Ovis aries: one gene and its partner. The protein of the gene in region 2 purifies or fractionates together with the protein of the main gene of each other region. This does not show direct contact. Links are inferred from orthologs where the notes say so. Each region holds a gene or a part of one and is shown on either strand. Other genes may lie near its edges. The genes, in order: RAP2C and RABGGTB.

The links.
Region 1: the proteins of RABGGTB (region 2) and RAP2C purify together in Homo sapiens (co-immunoprecipitation; 3 studies listed by BioGRID and IntAct, counting the BioPlex papers as one, with this or other methods). This does not show direct contact. The link is inferred for Ovis aries from reciprocal best matches to the Homo sapiens genes RABGGTB and RAP2C.

What each region holds. Positions count from the first base shown.
Region 1 is NC_056080.1:102,670,364-102,674,728, reverse strand, and holds the start of RAP2C (ras-related protein Rap-2c), read right to left. Parts: upstream 3,081-4,365; 5' UTR 1,794-3,080; intron 1,677-1,793; exon of another isoform or gene 1,572-1,676; intron 1,454-1,571; 5' UTR 902-1,453; coding exon 629-901; intron 1-628. UniProt on the Homo sapiens protein: Small GTP-binding protein which cycles between a GDP-bound inactive and a GTP-bound active form. May play a role in cytoskeletal rearrangements and regulate cell spreading through activation of the effector TNIK.
Region 2 is NC_056054.1:52,028,726-52,031,831, forward strand, and holds the end of RABGGTB (geranylgeranyl transferase type-2 subunit beta), read left to right. Parts: intron 1-1,036; coding exon 1,037-1,190; intron 1,191-1,742; coding exon of another isoform or gene 1,743-1,746; coding exon 1,747-1,883; 3' UTR 1,884-2,317; downstream 2,318-3,106. UniProt on the Homo sapiens protein: Catalyzes the transfer of a geranylgeranyl moiety from geranylgeranyl diphosphate to both cysteines of Rab proteins with the C-terminal sequence -XXCC, -XCXC and -CCXX, such as RAB1A, RAB3A, RAB5A and RAB7A.

The DNA of each region.
Region 1 (4,365 bases), on a different chromosome or scaffold from region 2:
TGAAAAAAAAAAAAGAGAGTCATTCGAGATTTTTGTTTGTTATTAATTTTAGATACTAGTCTTTTCAATTACTAACTTCCCTTCACACGCTCCAAGTAAGTAGAGTACCTAGAAGGCAGGTCTTGAGTTCATCATCTTGTAGCCCTAAGATTTAGAAATCTGGTTGAGAGACTTGGGTGAGAACAAAAAGGGGGAGGGCGAAGCAGACGCAGAGGAATTTATCTGTGGAACAGATAATCGTCTCCAAATAATTTTCCTTACAAAGTGCTCTATTTGCCTGAGATTATCTTTTAAATGTTGTTTGCTTGAGTACCTTAACGAAGGCTTGTGGAGTTGAACAAGCAACTTCAGAAGGCTATAGTCCAGGCTAAACATACACAAGCTGACATTTCTTTTTTCACTTCTCTTTCACTTAAAAATAACTTTAAAACATTTGTTGACGGTTGCGACTTTAGTCCTCTCTACAGAAACAACTGGGTACTTTTCCGTGCCAGGAGTAACCTCAAAAATGCGCCATGTCTAACTTTCAAAAGCAAAACAGTCATTTACGCACGGTGCAAGCAAACCAGAAGTAAATGTTGGATTACCACACCCCCTTCTTACAAATTATAAGACTTGGTTTGGTTACCTGAAAAGACTGTTGATTAACCAGACTGTAAACCAGGATGAAACCTTGGCCGTTTTTGATGTAGAGATCTCTCATGGAAGCAAACTGCTCAGTTCCTGCGGTGTCCAGAATTTCCAGCACGGAGGGGGAAGAGTCCACTTCGATCTCTTTGCGGTAGAAATCTTCAATGGTGGGGTCATATTTCTCAATGAAAGTCCCAGTGACAAACTGCACAGTCAGGGCGGATTTGCCAACCCCTCCGCTCCCTAACACCACTACCTTGTATTCCCTCATTGAGTCTCACCTTCACCAACTCCTACCAAAGGGAGGGAAAAATAACACCCCGCTCGCTGCGGCGCTGCTCGGAGAGGCGGAAGGTGGGCGGAAATCTGCGAACCCGGGAGGAGAGTGCAGAGGAGCCGAGGGCCGGACGGGGGAAGAAGAGGAAGTTAAAGGAGGGGGAGGGGAAAGAGCGAAGTGTCGGGGTGGGTGGGGATGGGATGGTAATGCCCTTCCTATAGGAACTGAAGCCCAGGCAGGGGGCGTGGGGAAAGGGCGAGCCCTGAGCAGCCCGGAGGAGGGCGGGGGGAGGCGAGACGCGCCCCCCGAAGGGAAGTGGAGGGGGGGACGCCGCAGGACCGACGGGGACCCCCGCGGGAAGACAGGCGTCCAAGGAGCCCGCGGTCGGGGGCTGCCCCGCACCCCTCCTTCGCCCTTCACACAAAGGGGCCCAGGGACCCCGCTTCCTGCTCGCGCCGCCGAGCCGGCCCGGGCCTGTGGGCTCCGCTCCAGTCGCTGTCGCCCGGGCGGGTCTCTGGGCCGCGGCTGCCGCGGGTGTCGTCCGGCCTGTGAAGCGGGGGGAGAGGGCGCGCGTTACCAGCCTGACCCCCGCCCCAGCCCGGCAGCCCGGCCGGCCGCCTCCTGCGGCTCCCACCCGGACCCGGCCGCCACCGCCGCCGCTTACCCTGCCGTCCGCACCCGCCCGGCCGCCCGGGAAACTCTGTCACGCCAAGGCCATGGCGAGAGGCTGGTTCCTCGGTCTCACCGCCTCCCCTGCGCTACCGCTCGCAGAGGGGAAAGGGGCGGGGGCCGTCCGGCGGCGGCGGCGGCGGCGGCCGCTGGGACTCCAAGCGAACCCACCTCTTTTTTTTTCTCACCCCCCCCCCCCCCCCCCCCCAGCACACACCCGGAAGGGTTTCCCTGACACACTGGTTGAGGTGCCCCAGTTCCCCGAGACTGGACAGGATCACTTCCGGTGGGGAAAGTCCCACCTCTCCGGGGCGAGCCGGGTGGCGCTGGGGCCGCGCCCTGCTGGGCGAGACAGCGGGGACGGTTTCGGGTCTGGGCTACGGCCTTGGCAAAGGGCCTCTCTCGGGACCTCCGGAGTCTCCTTTTTCCGCTCGGCCGCCCGCAGCTGCTGTTTCTGCTGCTGCTGATGTGGATAGTCCCACCCCGACCTCGCGGAAGCCTCTCCGCGTCTCAGAGGGCCCCCAGTCCGGCCTGAAGACTCGATCGGCCTGGGGCGGATCTGATGACCCGGAGCACAAGCCAAACATCCCCGGACTAGAAGCGGCAGAGAAAATAAAACAGCCGAGAAAGTGGATTCTCTTTGCTGGTCTTCCTTCCACTTGGTATTTTTCGAAGGAACGCGTGCAAACTAGCCTTCGACTTCACTAATGGTTCTGATTTCCTCTGTGGTGTGTTTTCTTTAGCCGTGCTGACAAATAATTGAACACACACACAACACAGGGTACTTTATCACCTGGCAAATCTGCCTTGTCTCCACCAGCAAATGCCAGAGTCGCTCCTTTCCTTTTTATCACCAGGCTCGAAAAACAGCAGGATTAGAAGTAGACTTTATTAAGGTACTCTAACTCAGTTTTGCCTCTTTTTTGATTCCAACCGCTACGCAGCGAGGAAGCGTGGATTGGCAATTGTTTAGGCCAGCAGACTAACTCTTTTCATTGTCTTGTAAGGCACAGCAATTTAACTTGGCTCTCCCAAGTTAAACTTTGTTTTAATGACCATGCTTCATAATCTTTGAAATTCAAAGGACTCTAAGGTTAAACACACAAAGTTTCTATTTTTAGATAAAATTGTTACTTCTTACATATCTTTCCCTCTGCTTTCTATTTGTAAACTTTGTGTCACATCCACAGAGCCCCGGGGTCAGAAGCCTAGGTTATATTTTATGCATGTCACTCCCTTTTTGACTCGGGCATGCACACAGAAAGCTGAAAGAGTAAGTAGCCAGTGGAGTTAAAAATGACCTCAAATCCCCCTTGCAAGCCCTAAGGGCCCAACTGTATAATACCAAGCCCCAATTGTTAGATATTAGAAAACAAGCAAATTAGTGAGAAGTCCTGATGTGTCTCTCCAGTATTCCCCAGTGTCACTTACAGTATCCAAAGGACAGTTCAGTTTCTTCTCAGCCTAGAGCTGGTGTAATCTGTCCCGCGAAGTCTCCAGCTCTGGCTCCAGCTGGCCCGAGTCCCGCCTGATATCTGAGGCACTGCCCTCTGCTGGAAGAGATTTGGTCTGTGAATTATGAGTTTCCTCACAAGTCACTGCTTTTTTTTTCACACGTGCTGTTGCCTGATTTGGAGCTCTGCTGCCCATCCTTGTCTGTTTCCAGACAGTCTGGGGGACCCACAGCCCTGCCCCAGCCCTGCTTGTGACAGGGAAATTCCTCTTCTGATCTCACAATCAGTGCTGAGTAATTGCCTCAAGTCTCTGCTGTTACTAAACTGTCAAAACAGGGTGCCCCTCTTGCTAAGGTGGCTTCACCTGTTGACAACTCTACTATCTCTGAACTTGTTGGCTACAGTATTTTGTAGAGAATTGTTTGTTTCTCTACTCAATGAAACATACCTCTCCCTTCGGTGCAGAGTCTGTTTGGGTCACTGTCATCGACTACAGAGTTGACAGATGTCACATAGCCCGAAGATCCTTCTAAACTTTCTTAGGAAGGGTATTTATTACAGTGTTTAGGAAAGTAAACAATTGGAAGTAACTTAAACATCCTTCAATAGATGATTTAAAAAATAATGTGTGTATACACTCAAAAATAGGATACTGTGCAGCTATTAAAAAGAGAAAGGTATATTTGTAAATGCTGATATGAAAAGATGGCCAAGATATATTGTAAGGATGAAGGAAAAGCAAGATACTGAACAAATACATGTGTGCTCAGTTGCTTCTGTTGTGTCTGACTCTTTTAGACTCTATGGACTTGTAGCCCAGCAGGCTCCTCTGTCCATGGGATTCTCCAGGCAAGAATCCTGGAGTGGGTTGTCATGCCCTCCTCCAGGGGATCTTCCCAACCCAGGGATTGAACCTGCGTCTCCTTTGCTTTCTGCATTGCAGGCAGATTCTTTACCACTGAGCCACCAGGGACAAATATGTAGTTGCCCCCATTTGTGTAAAATATGTGGGAGTGGTGCAACATATAGTTATATAGCCATTAAAACCTGAAAGTCATTAATTACTAGTGAAGGATATTGTGAAAGGATTTTCATGTCCGTGTGTCATTTTAATTTTAAGACAGTAATAAGGTATTCTTGGGGAAAAAAAGGAATAAATATAATTTCATAATATTTGAAGGGAGAAAAAAATTTGTCGATCATCCTTTCCTCAAAACCAAACCAAACCCAATATCCTAACTGTCTAGGGATCAGTGGACAGGCCTGCCCCATTTAAACTGCCTCCTCCTGCTCCTCCTGTCCTCTCCAAACATCTCTATACTTAGAAAAGTATTT
Region 2 (3,106 bases):
TTGTTGCCACAGACAATAAAAAATGAATGGGTGTGGTTGTATTCCATTGAAATTACTAATGGACAAGTATGAGTTTCATAATCGTTTTCCTTTCACAATACTGTTTTTAAAAATCATTTACAAATACTAAAAGCTGTTCTTCGGTTTAGGCCCTTGAGCTAAAATATGATAAAGCATAGTGATGCTTTTATTCTGGGTCATTGTATTTTTGTGTAATTTTGCTTGCTTGTTACTTCTGAATAAGTTTAAAAACCATAAGTGGTACTTAGTTAAAATCCATGGAAAAATCTGGGCAACTTTTCAATAATTAGGAAATGGGTGAGGGTGGGGATAGCACGTACGATCTAGGACAGCTTTTAATGTTCTTGTGGATCATCCTGGGATCTAGTTGAAATTCAGTGTAAGGTGTGGGGTCTTCTGCATTTAAGTTATGATTTGATGAGCAAGGGTGATTTTATTTTTTAAACCAAGTTGTATACCTTCCTGGACAGCACTGAAAATGCTGCCCATGGCAGTGGAACGTATGTTGCCATAGTTGTAAGCCTTACTACCAGTTTCTTGGAAAAGGGACTGATGTAGGCATTCATTTCATATAGAAATTAAGGTGGGTGGATGGTTATCAGTGAATACTGAAACGAACATTTAGCATGGTTTTCTGTGGAATCAAGAATCTGCCTGCAGTGTAGGCAGCACAGGATACATGGTTCAATCCCTGGCTCAGGACGATCCCCTAGAGAAGAACATGGCAATCCACTCCAGTATTCTTTGCCTGAAAATTTCCATGGACAGAGGAGCCTGGTGGGCTACAGTTCGTGGGGTTGCAGAGTGAGACATGACTGAGCATGCCTGCATACTCATATTCTAGTTCTGTGGAATGAAGCATTTGATCTCTTTTCCAATGATTATCTTTTAATTCTAAGCAATTTTTGGATTTCAGTGTTTCAAACACTGCATTGTCAATATATCCCTTGATTCCCCTCCCACCCCAGGTATTTAGAAAATACGTTTGTGGCAACTTGTGGCTTTTTCCTCCTAGTTACCAGATGTATGCTATTCATGGTGGGTGTTGGCTTCCCTAAAGATAATTGGAAGGCTTCATTGGATTGATAGAGAAAAGCTCCGCAGTTTCATCCTAGCATGTCAAGATGAAGAAACAGGAGGATTTGCAGATAGGCCAGGAGATATGGCAAGTATACTTAGGACTGTTAATGTAACAGTTAAAATTTTCAGCGTTGTTCTAAGATTCTAAGGGTTCTAAATTTTTAAAACTAGGAATTGGTGGGGAACAAATAGTATTTTTCAAGTGTTGCTTTGAAAGGATGCTTTTAAAATGTCATTTAAAAGTGTACTAAGGTGCTTTTCTGGTGGCTCAGATGGTAAAGAATCTGCCTGCAATGCCTAAGACCCACGTTCAATCACAGTATTCTTGCCTGGAGAATTCCATGGACAAGAGCCTGGCAGGCTACAGTCCATGGGGTCGTAGATTCAAACGTGACTGAGTGATTAACACACAAAAAAGAGTGTATGAAAGATCTGAAACACATTTACAGTACTTATGCCTAAGAAATGAGTGTGTGTGCCAAGTCCTCTGTTTAAAAAGTGCAGTTTGAAACCATTATTTCAGAAAATTTTAAGAGAATATTTATATAGAGTGCAATGGGCTCCAGTATAATCCCTGTTCAAAAGCAGGGTTTTAGAAGTTTTCATTTTGTAATATTCTATAAATTCTTGTTTTTTAATAGGTAGATCCTTTCCATACTCTGTTTGGAATTGCTGGATTGTCACTTTTGGGAGAAGAACAGATTAAACCTGTTAGCCCTGTTTTTTGCATGCCTGAAGAAGTACTTCGGAGAGTGAATGTTCAGCCTGAACTAGTGAGCTAGATTAGATCCCTTGATGGAGAAGTTGGTTAATATAGTTTTTATTGTGTTTTAACATTTCAGTAGTTGAAGTGCTTAAAAACTTAACAAACTACCGTGTTAATATTTTGTACATGAATTGTGTTAATTTTAATAAATTATAATTATACATATTGTAAATTAAGATCTTTATTGTATCTCTCCTTCTGGAATGCTGTTGTTACTCTGATTTTTTTGTTTATGCTTCAGTATATTTTCTTGTATGTCTTCATAACAGCAAACTTGAACTCTCTTTAGCTGATGATTCTGATTTTCCTGGGTACTCCCTTGATATGTTATATATAACTATAGTTAATGTAGATTGGTCTTTGTCAGTGAGAATGTTACTGATAAAGAGTTGATGAACCACATAGGAATTAAAAGATGAAATAAAAATAAATGGCTGAAATTTGGGAATATTTCATGCTTGTGGTTAATGAGTTGGGTACAGAGTGGGTTAGGTAAATGAAGAGAATTCACTAAGATGAGGATTGCAATCTGGACTAACACTTTAGTCACTTTTTAATATTTTATGTCAGAATGCCAAGGGATTGTTGGCATTTTTTTCCTACCCAGTAAGGAAATACAAGCTGATACTTGACACACTAATCCTTGTGTTCTTGCAGAAAAAGTATTTTAGTGAGCATTTTTCTTGATGAAGTTGAAATTTGCTGAAGCAAGTTTGCAATAATAACCCTAAGAGTAAAGAATTTTACATGTGAATAGTGATGATTTCTTTTAACACATTGAGCAATGTCTGCTTTTCATGTTATTGAAGTGTCTGGCATTGTTTTTGACAGTTCACTAAGTTTGGGTTGAATTACCAGTGTTTCTGAAAGTTTGGGAGCCATTGAATGGCACACAATTTTATATAAGTGGTATCATTGGAAGTTTTGAGTACTGCGGTCACTGCACGTGGGTGACTGAGTGGTTTCATATTCTGTATCTGATTTCACAATTGAATGAATTCGGTAATGGACTGAATTCATCTAATGGTATCGAGTATTTTCTCAATCCTGCTTTCTCTACCATGTTGAATTACTGTGTCTATTCAAGAGAATCATGGCATCTGGTCCCATCACATCATGGCAAATAGATAGGGAAACAGTAAGAGACTTATTTTTGGGGCTCCAAAAATCACTGCAGATGGTGACTGCAGCCATGAAATTAAAAGACACTTCTTGGAAGGAAAGTTATGACCAACCTAG